3 linked regions of the Macaca mulatta genome follow. The protein of the gene in region 1 purifies or fractionates together with the protein of each later gene. This does not show direct contact. Links are inferred from orthologs where the notes say so. Each region holds a gene or a part of one and is shown on either strand. Other genes may lie near its edges.

The links. The genes of interacting proteins can lie anywhere in the genome.
Region 2: the proteins of DTL (region 1) and CUL4A purify together in Homo sapiens (affinity purification with western blotting; 15 studies listed by BioGRID and IntAct, with this or other methods). This does not show direct contact. The link is inferred for Macaca mulatta from reciprocal best matches to the Homo sapiens genes DTL and CUL4A.
Region 3: the proteins of DTL (region 1) and COPS5 purify together in Homo sapiens (affinity purification with mass spectrometry; 6 studies listed by BioGRID and IntAct, with this or other methods). This does not show direct contact. The link is inferred for Macaca mulatta from reciprocal best matches to the Homo sapiens genes DTL and COPS5.

What each region holds. Positions count from the first base shown.
Region 1 is NC_133406.1:69,805,633-69,809,845, reverse strand, and holds part of DTL (denticleless protein homolog), read right to left. Parts: intron 1,678-4,213; coding exon 1,565-1,677; intron 1-1,564. UniProt on the Homo sapiens protein: Substrate-specific adapter of a DCX (DDB1-CUL4-X-box) E3 ubiquitin-protein ligase complex required for cell cycle control, DNA damage response and translesion DNA synthesis.
Region 2 is NC_133422.1:107,452,720-107,457,450, forward strand, and holds the start of CUL4A (cullin-4A), read left to right. Parts: upstream 1-1,421; 5' UTR 1,422-1,436; coding exon 1,437-1,584; intron 1,585-1,778; coding exon 1,779-1,894; intron 1,895-4,731. Other genes in the region: PCID2 (PCI domain-containing protein 2), read right to left, coding at 408-443. UniProt on the Homo sapiens protein: Core component of multiple cullin-RING-based E3 ubiquitin-protein ligase complexes which mediate the ubiquitination of target proteins. As a scaffold protein may contribute to catalysis through positioning of the substrate and the ubiquitin-conjugating enzyme.
Region 3 is NC_133413.1:77,752,921-77,757,871, forward strand, and holds the start of COPS5 (COP9 signalosome complex subunit 5), read right to left. Parts: upstream 3,311-4,951; 5' UTR 3,178-3,310; coding exon 3,035-3,177; exon of another isoform or gene 3,027-3,034; intron 623-3,026; coding exon 388-622; intron 1-387. UniProt on the Homo sapiens protein: Probable protease subunit of the COP9 signalosome complex (CSN), a complex involved in various cellular and developmental processes.

The DNA of each region.
Region 1 (4,213 bases):
AGTATATATTTTATAGGCAAATTTTCATTTAAAAATATAACGAAAGAAATATGCTTGTAGAAAAAGGCAGGCCCAGCATAGAAGCATCTTAGATAGAGCAATATCTCCACCTTGTGACTATTTAGGATGTTGTCACTAAAATTTTAATAAAGCAGTGTTGCATTTTCGCAACTCTAGTTATATAGAAACCACTTTTTTTTGTACTTCCCTCAGGACTGGAAGAAATTAAGCTGAAGAATTATGCTTCATACTAAACAGGTTTTACCCCGTCCTAAAAAAAATTAGCAATATTACTTTCTAGAGCTTGGCAGGATAAAGAATGATACAACTTTCTCTTGAGAAGGGTTTGATACTATCAAAACTATGGGATCTATGAAGTTTTAGACGTTATGACTTTAAAACCCAAAATATGTGAACTCTAATCATTCAATTCACCAATGTCAAAGACATTAATGAAGTTACAGGGAGATCTAGAAGATAACTAATTCTTAGTCATGGGTAAACAATGCGTTAATGATTGTTCTCTGAATTCCCAGAACATTTCCATAATTAATTATTCCTTCAAGAGACAGTTTTCAGTAATAAGTGCTACCTGTTGTGTAATATTTTTATTTTCTCCACTGGGCTTCAAATGGACAGCTTTAAATTTCTTAGCTTACAGTAGACACTTTAGAATTACTGTTATTAAAAAAAGTTAATTAAAAGATTATTGGTCAGGTGTGGTGGCTCACCCTGAAATCCCAGCACTTTGGGAGGCCGACTTGGGCAGATCATGAGGTCAGGAGATTGAGACCATCCTGGCTAACATGTTGAAACCCCATCTCTACTAAAACTACAGAAAAAATTAGCCGGGCGTGGTGGCGGGCGCCTGTAGTCCCAGCTACTTGGGAGGCTGAGGCAGGAGAATGGCATGAACCTGGGAGGCGGAGCTTGCAGTGAGCCGAGATCATGCCACTGCACTCCTGTCTGGGTGACAGAGCGAGACTCCATCCCCAAAAAAAAAAAAAAAAAAAAAAAAAGATTATTAAATAATGCTATTAAATATATAAAAATCGGAGAAAGCAGCCATATCTACTTGTAGCCTGAAGATCAGCTACTTGTAACAAGAGAATAAAGATTAAATTAATCACACAAATAGTTTTGAGTTTCTGTTTTGTGCAAGGCTCCATGGGTGATTCAAACACAGGATCCTAAGGATCAAAATACTGTATTCTGAACGAGAGTTTGAAAACACAGGGCAGAAAGTCAGTACAGCATATTTTCCAGGATGCAGGAACAAAGTAGTTAAGGTTCTTACTACCCTCTGAATTCTCAATTCCTAATCATTTGTGAAACAGAGGATACAAATTGTCAATTTCTGACAAGCTATGGCCCTGAAAGTGTCATACATTCTGTAGCAGAGTAAGGTTTCAGCTATATTAAGAGCCAAGAGCAACCTTTACTAAATATCTGACGTAGGAATAGTAGAGTATGTGGTTACATTAAACTTACCTCATATTGGACAGAACAAATATTTGCAAGAATACTTCAGTCTAACATTTGTGGGTGAAGGTTAGCAGCTTACCTTCCATATGTAGGCAGCTTCATCACTTGAGCCACTGACTAAAAACTGGTCATCTGGACTAAGGCTGGATTTTACATAAAAGGTAGAGTTCTGGTGTCCATTGAAAATAGCCACTGCCAGAGGAAAAAAAACAAATTACTTGGCTCTCGTTATTTCTAGTGGTCAAATGGATATAGACAGCATATATATTCTAGCAAGTTTTATCACTGTATTGCCTATTGAAGCAGATGGTCTAGCTTTATCCATGAAATACAAGGGAACTGGACACTGGCAGAAAAACAAAACCCTAGAAAGAGGCTTTAGATTAGATCCAATCTCATGAACTCAGTCTGAATACTTGGTATGAAAATGGCGATATCAAGAGAAAAAAATTTGATGAAAACATTTCTTAAAAAAAGAATGCAGCCAACGTGCAACTGACAGTAAAACACCTTTATAAGACCCTCTCTCTCCAGCCCAGGGTAGGATTTCTTCCATTGCATAATATATTCATCTAATTTCCCCTTATACTTCAAGACTCTTGAGGATAAATTTTATGTCTTACTTTTTCTTCACTAGATTTTATAGTGCTTTGAACAGAGTAGATCCTCAAACATTTGTTCCATGAATAGGAAACAAACAAACAAACAAACAAACAAAACAGTGAAAAGTATCATTTGAGTTCTGGTTAAAACTTACTACTAGCTTATCTGGGATGTGAGAATCATTTTAATCCAGCATTTTAAGTAGGCTGAATGGTGGAAGTAGCTAGTGGGGTAAACTATGTTCATATGCAAGGCACTAGATTAGGTTTAGCCTTCTCACTATCAGTGGCAAAAGGGCAGGTAACCCAATCTAGCATACGTTCTTGATAGGTTCTTCTATCCTAAGAAGGTCAAAACCTGAGGCCTCTGACATTAGAACACTACTAGGAAATACAAGAGAAAAATCTCAATGTTTGGAGAATTTAAGGATACCTTTAGGCAGGAAAAAACAATCACACTCCAGAGAGAAAAGTATTAGTAGGCGACTTAACAGCTTTCCATAAGTGCTTACAGGAATCTCTTCCATTTTCTAGAATAAAGCTGGAAAAGAACTTTGTATTTATAGCTTTTAAGGAAAAAGCTATGCAGGCATAGCAAATTTCTCCTCACATCAGATATTTTTACTGTGAAAGTGAGGCAGGATATGAATCAATTTGTATACACCTATTATCACTGCAAAATAAACAAGCTCCTTTATTCTGAACATTGTTTTAAAACTGTAATTTTTAATCTTCCTCCACTCTGAACTATGAATGGAAAACTCTAGCCTGAATTTCCCACTATACCTGTAAGGATTTATTGCCCTCTGCTGGTCTAAGAAAGGCTGGTACGATATGCACTGTAAATGTTTAAACCTTGCTAAAAATCCTCCTAAAATGCATATTGGCTTTAATGAGCTCAATTTAATCTTGCAAAGTCATCCTCATGAACATCACTTAATATAACACCATAAATACAAAGCATGGTAGATCAAGTATCAAATCCAAGATCCTTTCAGAAGTTTTGAAAAGGACAAGTAATTACAAGATGTTATACACACACACACACACAGAGTTGTCATTCAATTTTTTTTTTTTTTTTTTAAGACAGGGTCTTACTCTGTCACCCAGGCTGGAGTGCAGTGGCAAGATCATGGCTCACTGAAGACTCAAACCTCCCAGGATCAAACCTCCTCCTACCTCAGCCTTCCGAGTAGCAGGACTATAGGTACATGCCACCACATTCAGCTAATTTTTTGCATCTTTGTCAAGATGGGGTTTTGCCATATTGCCATATTGCCCAGGCTGGTCTTGAACTCCTGGGGTCAAGCGATCCGCCAGCCTCAGCTTGGGTTTATAGGTATGAGCCACCATGGCCAGCTGTCATTCAATTTTTAAGGAACAAATTGATCTATTAATCTATTTACCTATCTATCCATCTGAGCAAATGAAATTAAATAGAAGCACACAAAAGGTTTACTAAATCATTAGCGAAGTGTTTGACGGCAGGACACTAAACTCAAGGCCCTTTTCAGTGCCACACTGCAGCAAAAATTATATAGAAAGAGCTCTTGTACATCTGATAATATAATCAGGATTAGGTTTTATCTTTCAAGGAAAGATTTTTGATTAACTAAATTAGCAGTTCTCCAAGCTCAGATTCCATTAAGGAAAGCATTAAGAAAGCATTAAAGAAACACCTCTTCCCTTTTCTAAACATTATTGCTCTTGCTTAGAGAAAATCAGACCCAGTGCAAAGCATCAGAAATGCCGACTATGATACTGCCACCAATACTAAAGTCCTAATAAGATTGCTTGGAGTGACCTTTGGAAACTTCTTTAAGATCTCAGCTAAAATGACAAGTTCTGGACCGGCACGGTGGCTCACACCTGTAATCTCAGCACTTTGGGAGGCTGAGGTGGGCGGATCACAAAGTCAGGAGTTCGAGACCCGCCTGACCAACAAGGTGAAACTCCGCCTTTACTAGAAATACAAAAATTAGCCAGGCGTGGTGGCGGGCACCTGTAATCCCAGTTACTTGGGAGGCTGAGGCAGAAGAATTGCTTGAACCTAGGAGGCAGAGGTTGCAGTGAGCTGAGATCGAACCACTGCACTCCAGCCAGGGCAACAGAGAGCAAAACTCCAT
Region 2 (4,731 bases), on another chromosome or scaffold:
GGAGTCCCCGAAGTCATCCCGCATCCTGCTGGGAAGCAGCGTCCACCCGACACAGCACCGCCCACACCGGGCCCTTGGCGCGGCTCGCAGGCCCTTCGGGCCCCCTGGGGGCGCGGCCACACACGCCAGCAATGAGGGCAGTGACCTGGAGCCCCCGCGTCTACTTACACCGCGACAACTCCGCGATCCACGGACACCGCCCGGCCCCCACGGCGGCCCTGCAGGGGAGCCCCGGCCGCCGCTGTTCGGCCTTTCAGTCGGCTCGCGCCGCTGCCCGCCGGGGACCCGGACAGAGGACAGGGGGCGAGGCGCGAAAGGAAGACGCCTGAGGGTCCAAGGCAGGAGGGGACACACGGAACACGCCGAGGGCCAGCCACACCGCCGCGCGCTCCCCGGCTAGGACCCACCTGCTGCAGGTACTGGTTGATGGTAATGTGTGCCATGGCAGCGCCGCCGAGCACAGAGCGCCACCCCCTACACCCCAAGCGGGACAGCTGGCGTCACTTCCTGCCCTCGGTCCGTCTGGGTCCCGGAGCCCCCGACCCCGTCTCCTGTGCGCAGGGTGGTTCCGGAGGGAGAATCCAGGGACCGGCTCGGCGACACGCTCGGGCTAAGGGGTCCCGGGGTCTTTCTGTCGGGCCCCCGTCCTCTCAGCCGGGACGCCAGCGACTCTGATTGTGTGTTCGGGCCCGCCCGGGCTGAGGGGTTTGGGGTCCAGTGGCGAGAACAGCCCCACTGCTAAAGTGCCTTTCACTGCGCTGTCCCCTCGACTGCCCCTTGTGAAAACGAGGCCGCGGATCACGCTCCGCGCCGGGCTGGGCCAGGGACTCGGGACGCGCGCGCCCGAGCGAGGGTGGAGGGGAGGGACATGGCGCGCGCTCCCGAGCTCTCATAAGGTGCCTCCGCCGCGCGCTCCCGAGACTTCAGAAGTTGGGGCACGTCCCGGCGCGCACCCCCAAGCCCTCGAGGTGGTCTCACGCCCCGGGTGCGGGTGCCGAACCCTCAGGAGGAGCGCTCCCTGGGGCCCTCAGGAGGGGGTCCCGGCTCCCGAGCCCCTCAGGAGGGGGCCCCCGGCACGCACCCCCGAGCCAGGAGGGGGTACCCAGAGCCCCGGGGGTGTCCCGGTGCGCCCCCCGGAACCGGGGCTGTCCCGATCCCTCGGGGGCGGGGGTGGGGGTCCCGGCGCGCGCCCTCGAGCCAGGAATGGGTGTCCGAAGCTCTTAGGGGGGGTCCGATCCCTCAGGAGGGGTTCCCAGCGCGCGCCCCTAAGGGCTCAGCAGTAGCCGGGCGCGGCGGCGGTTGGACTCGGGCACGCGGGCGGGGCGGGGCGGGGCGCGCGAGGAGGACTGGGCGGAGGCCGCGCGGACCGGGGCGGGCGGAGCGGAGCTGGGCGGGCGGCGGCGCTCGGGGCGGGGCGCGGCGGTTCCGGCCCAGCCATGGCGGACGAGGCCCCGCGGAAGGGCAGCTTCTCGGCGCTCGTGGGCCGCACCAACGGCCTCACCAAGCCCGCGGCCCTGGCCGCCGCGCCCGCCAAGCCGGGGGGCGCGGGCGGCTCCAAGAAGCTGGTCATCAAGAACTTCCGAGGTGGGTGCGGCGGCCGGGTCGAGGGCCGGGCGACCCCAGCGGGCCCCACGAGACCCCGCCCGCCCTGGGGGGAAGGCCCGAGATCCGTACGGGCCTCTTGAGCGCGGGCGCTGGGGCGCCGGCCGGGTCGGGGGTGGCGACGCGGGGCGCTTCGCGGCGCGCCCTGAGCCGCCCGCTCTCTCTCCGCCCTGCAGACAGACCCCGGCTGCCCGACAACTACACGCAAGACACGTGGCGGAAGCTGCACGAGGCGGTGCGGGCCGTGCAGAGCAGCACCTCCATCAGGTACAACCTCGAGGAGCTCTACCAGGTGAGGCGGCGGCCGAGGCTGGGGGCGCCGCTCCTGCCCCGCGTGACGCAGACGCGGCCGGGCGGCCGCTCCGGGTGCCTCGCAGGCTCTCGCCGGGGAGCGGAAAGGCAGGGCGTTTGCCTCCACTGCAGGGCCGGGAGCCCCAGAGGCAACAAGTGGTTTTGTTTATTGCCGTGGTGGAATTTTTGTTTTCAGGCTTAAGCTGCTTAGAACGATTCTTAAAGTTATCCCATTACCGAAGAGAAGGAGGTGTGTTTCTAGGAGCCACGTGACTCATATTTTGCAAGTATACAGCAAATTATTTCTCTCGTTATAAATAAAACTGTTAGTACTGTGTCACTTGCCACAGTAATAGGGTTTTTTCTCTGTTGTGTTTTGTGATTAATGGTTCCCTTTAAGATATTCAGATTTTGAAAAACTTCAAAATTCAAAAACAGTGCTTTTCTTCTCTGTTTTGTGATCAGTGGTTGCCTTTAAGATATTCAGATTTTGTAGCGTTTAATTCAAAGTGATGGTGTTCCATTTATAAAGTAACAAAAAATGGCTAAAAGTGCATTTTACCGTACTTGGATATTTTATTTACATGCGGATGTTTTTTTCTGGCGTCGTCTTTTTGTAAAACAACGTTCATTAAGTAGTCTGATATCTACATTTTGGGTCACGATGTGTCATACACTTATTTCTGTGAAAATACTTGAATTAAAAAAATTCTTTTCTGGATATGCAAGTGACTGCATTGTAAAAATTATAAAAAATATATAAAAGAAGACTTCAATCACCTATACTCCTACCACCCAAAGAAAACTGTTGACAGTTTGGTGTACATACACATCCATTCTTTGTCTGAAGTGTAAGTGAGTTATGTTTTCTTGTCAGCTTTGAGATACAGTCTACATATAATATGCACTCCAAGAAGTTTTAACAGATGTATATATACCGTTATGTAACCGGCACCATGGTCAAGATAGACTCTTCTTGGTAGAAAGGTAGAATATTTTTACCACCCCCGAAATTGCCATGACCACTTTTGCAATCAGCCCTCTCCCCTGACTCCTAACCCTTGGCAGTCCCCCATTTGCTTTCTGTCGCTATATTTTGTCATTTCCAGAACGTTATCTAAATGCAGTCATCTATTTTGTAGTGTCTGGCTTCATTCACTTAGGACAGTGCTTTTGAGATTCATGTGCACGCAATGTGATTGTAACTTGTTTATTACCTCATAGAATGGGTATACCACAGTTATTTTCTCCATTCATCAGTTAATGGACATTTGAGTGTCCATGTTTGGGGTTTTTTATTTGTTTCTTTGAGATAGAGTTTCACTCTTGTCACCCCAGGCTGGAGTGCAGTGGCGCGATCTTGGCTCACTGCAACCTCGCAGATTGAAGCGATTCCCCTGCCTCAGCCTCCCAAGTAGCTGAGATTACAGGCACCCGCCACCACACCTGGCTAATTTTTGTATTTTCACCATGTTGGTCAGGCTGGTCTCAAACTCCTGACCTCAGGTGATCCGCCTGCCTTGGCCTCTCAAAGTGTTGCGATTACAGGCGTGAGCCCCTGCACCGGCCTTGGGTTGTTTTAAATAAAGCTGCTGTGAACATCTGTGAATGACCCTTTGTTTGGACATACATTCTTATTCCTCTCAGGTAAGTTCTGCTTACTTCTTTATCTAGAAGTAAGTTCTCAAGGGTCATATGGAAAATATATGTTTACCTTTTTATGAAATTTCTTGTTTTTCACAGTGGCTGCCCCTTTTGTGCCTCTCCCAGCAGTGTATGGGAGTTCCAGTTCCAGTCCGCCACCAGCATGTGGTGTCCTCAGCCTATAATTTTAGCTGCGCTAGTGGGTGTGTGGTGGAGTGTCGCTGTGGTTTTAGTTTGCATTTCCCTCTGATGTGAAGCATCTTCATATTTACTTGCCATTCTATGTATCTTTTTAGACGAAGTGTCTATTTAAATATTTTGCTCATTTTTGTTGTGTTGGTTATTTTCTTACTATTGAGTATTTGAGTTTATTAAGTATTCTGGATACAAGTCCTGTATCAGATATTCGCCTTACAAATACTTTCTCCCTAGTCTTCAACTTGTCTTTTGATTCTCTTAATTGTGCCATTTGAAGAGTAATAGTTTTAAGTTTTCAGGTCACATGTATCAGTTTGTTCTTCTATGGACTGTACTTTTAGTATCCAAGAAATCTTGCCTAATCTAAGGTCACAAAGTTTTCTCTTATATTTTCTTCCAGACATTTGAGAGTTTTAGGTTTTACATTTAGGTCTATGATCTATGTAGAGTGAATTTTTGTATATATTGTGAAATATAAATCTAGAGTCAGAGCGGGTGCAGTGGCTCATGCCTGTAATCCCAGCACTTTGGGAGGCCAAGGCGGGTGGATCACCTGAGCACTCAGGAGTTTGAGACCAACCTGGCCAACATGGTGAAACCCCATCTCTGCTAAAAATACAAAAAATTAGCCGGGCGTGGTGGCAGGCGCCTGGAATCCCAGCTACTCGGGAGGCTGAGGCCAGAGAATCGCTTGAACCCGGGAGGGAGAGGTTGCAGTGAGCCGAGGTTGTGCCACTGCACTCCAGCCTGAGCAACAGAATGAGACTCCATCTCAAAAAATAAACAAACAAACAAAAAATCTAGAGTCAGTATTTTCCTTGCAAATGTCCAGTTTTTCAGCCTCTTTTCCCCTACTGAATTGCCTTTGTTCCTTTGTCAGAAACCATGTAGGAGTAGGTGGAGTGAGGTGTGATATCGGGGTGTGTTGGCCCCCCAACCTCATATATTTGCACAGGTTTCTGGCTATTCTTGGTCCCTTGTGTTTCCATGTGAATT
Region 3 (4,951 bases), on another chromosome or scaffold:
CACGGCAAAACCCATCTCTACTAAAAATACAAAAATTATCCAGGCCTACTGGTGCACGCCTGTAGTCCCAGCTACTCAGGAGGCTGAGGAGGGAGAATTGCTTGAGCCCAGGAGGTGGAGGTTGCAGTGAGCCAAGATCACGCCACTGCACTCTAGCCTGGGCAACAGAGCGAGTCCCTGTCTTGAAAAAAAAAAACACAAAAAACAAAAACAAAAAACCATGCTATAAATCTTATCAGGCTTTTAATCTCGTACATTTTACATATAAATCATTAAAATTTAAATATAACATTTCCTATAAAGGGGATAATTTTAAGTCTAGAAACTCAAAAGTCACCTTGAGACTCTAACTTGCACTTACTAAACTATAAGAAACAACATTTTTACCTGTTTGGCATTTTCTATGTATGCAGCCATGTATTCATATGCAGCAGCCTGAGCATTTACTCGAGTTTCAGTGCCCTCCACAGGCAAAGCAAAGCTGTCCATAATGATCATGGTTTCACCATCCACCTTTCCTAGCATCAGACCCATCACTTCCAAGTTGCCTCCTGATCTGGCATGCATCACCATCTTCAGTAGAGCCAATGCCGAGATTTTGCAGTACTTAAAGTAATGGTGACTGCAAAACAAAATCACAATGTAATTAAATTTCTTATATAAAGTAAAATTTCAGAAAAGTTTTTATGAAGATAAAGAGTAAGTATTGAAGGAATTTACAGCGATGGAAGGGGAGTGTAGACTATGGGGAGAAAAAGTAGAAAAGGACAGTTTTTGCAGGCTGGAAACAATAAGTATGTTATAGTCCTGCAATGCATCCCCCTTGGGGGAGGGGAAAAGTCTGAAATAGTTTTTTAATATGCTAAATAAGGGAGTAACATGACCAGTTCAATAGACTTTTTCTCCATTAATCTGGAATCACCCAATCTTGGATTCTGACTGCTTGGATGGTTGTGCCTAACTGTTCTGAGGCCTAACCTCTGGCCTAATGGTTAAGAATGTGGGTTCTGACATTCATCTGCTAAGGTTTGAATCTTGACATTGCCATTCCCTAGCTGTGGTATTGGGACAACCATGTAATGTCTATGCCTAGGTTTCCTTTTCTGTAAATAGGGATAGTCATAATTGTTATTAGGATAAAGTAAATGAAATAATGTATATAAAGTGCTTAGCTTAGCACCTTACACATACTAGAACCCTAATAAGTGCTAGCTGTTATCAGCATTATTAACCTGTCTCTTAACCCTACTCTCAAAGAACAGAGTGTTGAAGGGTGGGCTTCCCTGTTATATCAGCCTCAAATTAAAAAGTAGCCATAATATCCTAGTCTTCTATGATCATTATTTCAGAGTTGGTCATCAATGAATTAAACTCTTGAATAAAATTACATTTTGGTCTCATTAGTGCAGCCCAAGACAGCTAGGATGAATATAATTAGAGCCACAATTAGACAGTGAAGCAGGCCGACAGTTTCCAAATATTTAAGAGTACACAAACCTAAAATGCACAACCTGCTACAGAAACAAGCAGACAACCAAGCAACTTAAGCAGCCTTACAGAGCAGTCAGTCAACGTCTCTACAAAGCCTTTTTAGATGTCTGCCCACAGAAAGAATCCAAATTTAATTCCTAAGCTTTGCCAGATTTCAACCAAAAGCTGAAAAATGTGTAGACCTCATGTTGGAAATCAAGACATGAATCGAAATCTTGGCTTCTCCCTTTACTGGAGAAAAGAAGAAAGACAAGTTACTGTGCTCCTATTACATATATTCTAGACGACTCTTTTTATACATTATCTCACCTAATCTCTATGACAATACCAATAGGTAGGTCTTATTTCCATACTATGACAAATGAAGATGGATAAGTAAATTTCCTAAGGTCAGTCAACCAGTTAGTGACAGCTGTGAAGTTTGATCTTAGGTCTGACTATTGCTCAGCTAAGAGTTCACTTATCTCAGTGTGATCATAAATTACATAATGTATTTGCTTGTTTTTTAATTTGTAAAAAAAGGATGGATATACTGTACTGGGTTGTCATAAAGATTAAATGACGTGGAAATCTCTAGCTAGATGCTTCCGCAATTCACCATTGTGGAATCTGAATACTGAGAGACAAGGCTAGCTTTGTAAAAAAAACTGTGAGGCAGTAGAAGTATGTCCTCTTGTTGACTGCAGCTCTCATTTCTATCTAACCATTAGCTTTTGTGCTCCTTTTACTCTCTCTCAAACATAGCCCGTAATAATTATCTTTTCCTGAGAGCAGGAAATCTCTCAGGAGATGCTCTCAGGAAAACATAAATATTATGGGTAAAGATCCCTCGACTTGTCACCACTCCCAGGGAAAAATGGGTATTGTTGAAGGGCAAAAAGTCGTAAGCTCTATTTTTAAAATTTCTGGCTTATAGGAACTGATGGAGTAACATTGTAGAGACCAGGTAGAGCCTCCGTGTGCCTCCGAAATAATTATCAGCAATCAAAAAACTATTATAGACCCAGGCCTCACGCCTGTAATTCCAGCATTTTGGAAGGCCAAGGTGGGAGGATCGCTTGAAGGCAGGAGCTCGGGATCAGCCTGAGCGACATAGCGAGGACCCACCTCTAGTTAAAAAAGAAAATAAAAGAAAATAGCTCATAGCTATTTTTGAGACCTTGAGCTGCTGACTCGATTTCTGAAAACAGCTGCGGTCCCCAGTAAGGGAATAGCTGAAGACCCAAATAAGGTGCATGTCGACACTGGGTTCAAGGCAGGGTGTGCGGCATATATGACAATACGGACGTTCAGAAGTGACAACTTAAATCACCGCTTGTTGTTCTCCCCTTACATCATCCGGGGGTAAATGGATTAAAGCGACAGAAAGGGAAGTCAAAGCCCCAGCGGAGGGCTTAGGCTCTACTTGCAGATCCAAGGCGCATATTCTGTTCCCCTCCCCGTCGGTGAAAGCTCTTCACCCCTTTCACCTCCCTCTCCCTCTGGGTCTCTTAAACTCCCGCCAACCCTTCCCTCCCCTGCGTCTCGCCAGGGACCTCCTCACTCCTTAGTCCAGGGCTTCGCCGCCAGGATTTCTTGCTGCTGTTTCTTGTCGTATTTGTAGATTTCATCGATACTCTGAGCTTCCTGCATATTGTTGGCCAATTCCCAGGTTTTCTGAGCCATACCGCTCCCGGACGCCGCCATTGCAGAGAAAGCGGAGAAGTTGTCGTCTCTACAACCAAGACGCAACTTTACCTCGCTAGGTCTCCGGGTGTGGGCCTTGACCCTCCGCACCACGGGAACAAACTCTTACCTAGACTCTCGGGGCAGCCATGACACCTAGAACCGGAGGTGAACTTGGTAGAGACCATTCAGGGAAGAGACAGGGACCTTTCCGGGACGTGACGATATAAGCAGCAGTTACAGGAATAGGGAGAGACGAATCTTCTTGTGACTTAAATTAGAACATCTTGTCTCGGAAAATTGTATGTGTGAAATAGAACAAACAGAATTATAGGGTATGGGAATGGTATAGTCTTCCATACCGGAAGAAGGGCATGTAACGTTATTCCAGAAACTGTTATTTGCCTTCTCTGCTTGTACTGCGCAGGCTCGGTCTCCGCCATATTAAAGGTAGTTGGAGCCTTAACGGTGGGATGTGGAGGGCAGAAAGTGTTTTTGTGTGGGTCTAGGTACCTTAAATGAGATAAGTTTGTTGAAAGACTAAAGGGTAAGGCCGTCTGTTGTACAACTGAGCTAAAAGTCGTTCTGGAAGCTGGTTGAGAGGAAGATAAACATGGCATTCCAGTTTACTTCAAGATGACTCACTGCACATGCGTAAAAGCTAACGGGCTCGTGGTGGCTTGGCACTTAACTTGCAGATGGGCTTTTTCTATCGATGCCAGGAGGCAGTGGGTACTCCTTGATTGCTATTGTCATGTCTTTTTGGGTGTCGGTAAAAATTAACATCTACATATGCATAATGTGCCATTACTGATCTGAAAATGTCCAGTACTCCGTTCTTATAATAGGTTACAGTTAAATCTTTGGCACTGCTGTGAATTATGTGCCATTACTGTTCTGAAAATGTCCAGTACTCAGTTCTTATAATAGGTTACAGTTAAATCTTTGGTACTCCTGTGAACCGCATTTGTTCCCAAAGCGTAATTAATCTCGGCAACTGGTTTGTTTTCTTCCTACAGTTAATACAATGTTCAATTATTTTTTTAAATTAGTTTACGTGTTTTAGGTTTTCTTTTTTCTCCATCTCATTTCTCTATCCATGCAAGATTTTAAGTTTCAAGACACAGGGAGCAGGTCTGCGTTCCTTGTTTTATCTCCTAGCACCTAGCATAGGTGTTCAAGATTTTTTTTTTTTTCCTTTCCTGAAAAGATAGCATCACAGGCCAGGCGCAGTGGCTCACGCCTGTAATCCCAGCACTTTGGGCAGCCGAGGCGGGCGGATCACTTGAGATCGAGAGTTCGAGACCAGCCTGGCCAACATGGTGAAGTCTCTAAAAAAATACAAAAAAATTAGCCAGTCGTGATGGTGTGCGCCTGTAGACCCAGCTACTCAGGAGGCTGAGGCAGGAGAATCGTTTGAACCCAGGAGGCGGAAGTTGCAGTGATCCTAGATCGCGCCACTCCAGCCTGTGAGACAGAGCCAGTCTCAAAAAAAAAAGAAAAGAAAAGAAAAAGAAAAAAGAAAAGATAGCACCACAGCTGTTAACAACCTGGCCCCTACGCACCTCTTCCAGCTTCATCTCTCTTTAGTCCCCCCTGAAACTTTTCGTTCTAGCAATGCAAATATATTTCCTTTGGCTTTGCATATGTGGTCAGCATTGCTTGAAATGCTCTTTCCTACATTTTCTGCCTGGGAACTCATATTAATCTTTAAAAATACAGTCCAGTGAGATCGACCACGAACTCTTTCTTGACACTCCAATGACCATTCCTTCCATGATGTCTCTTAAGTCTC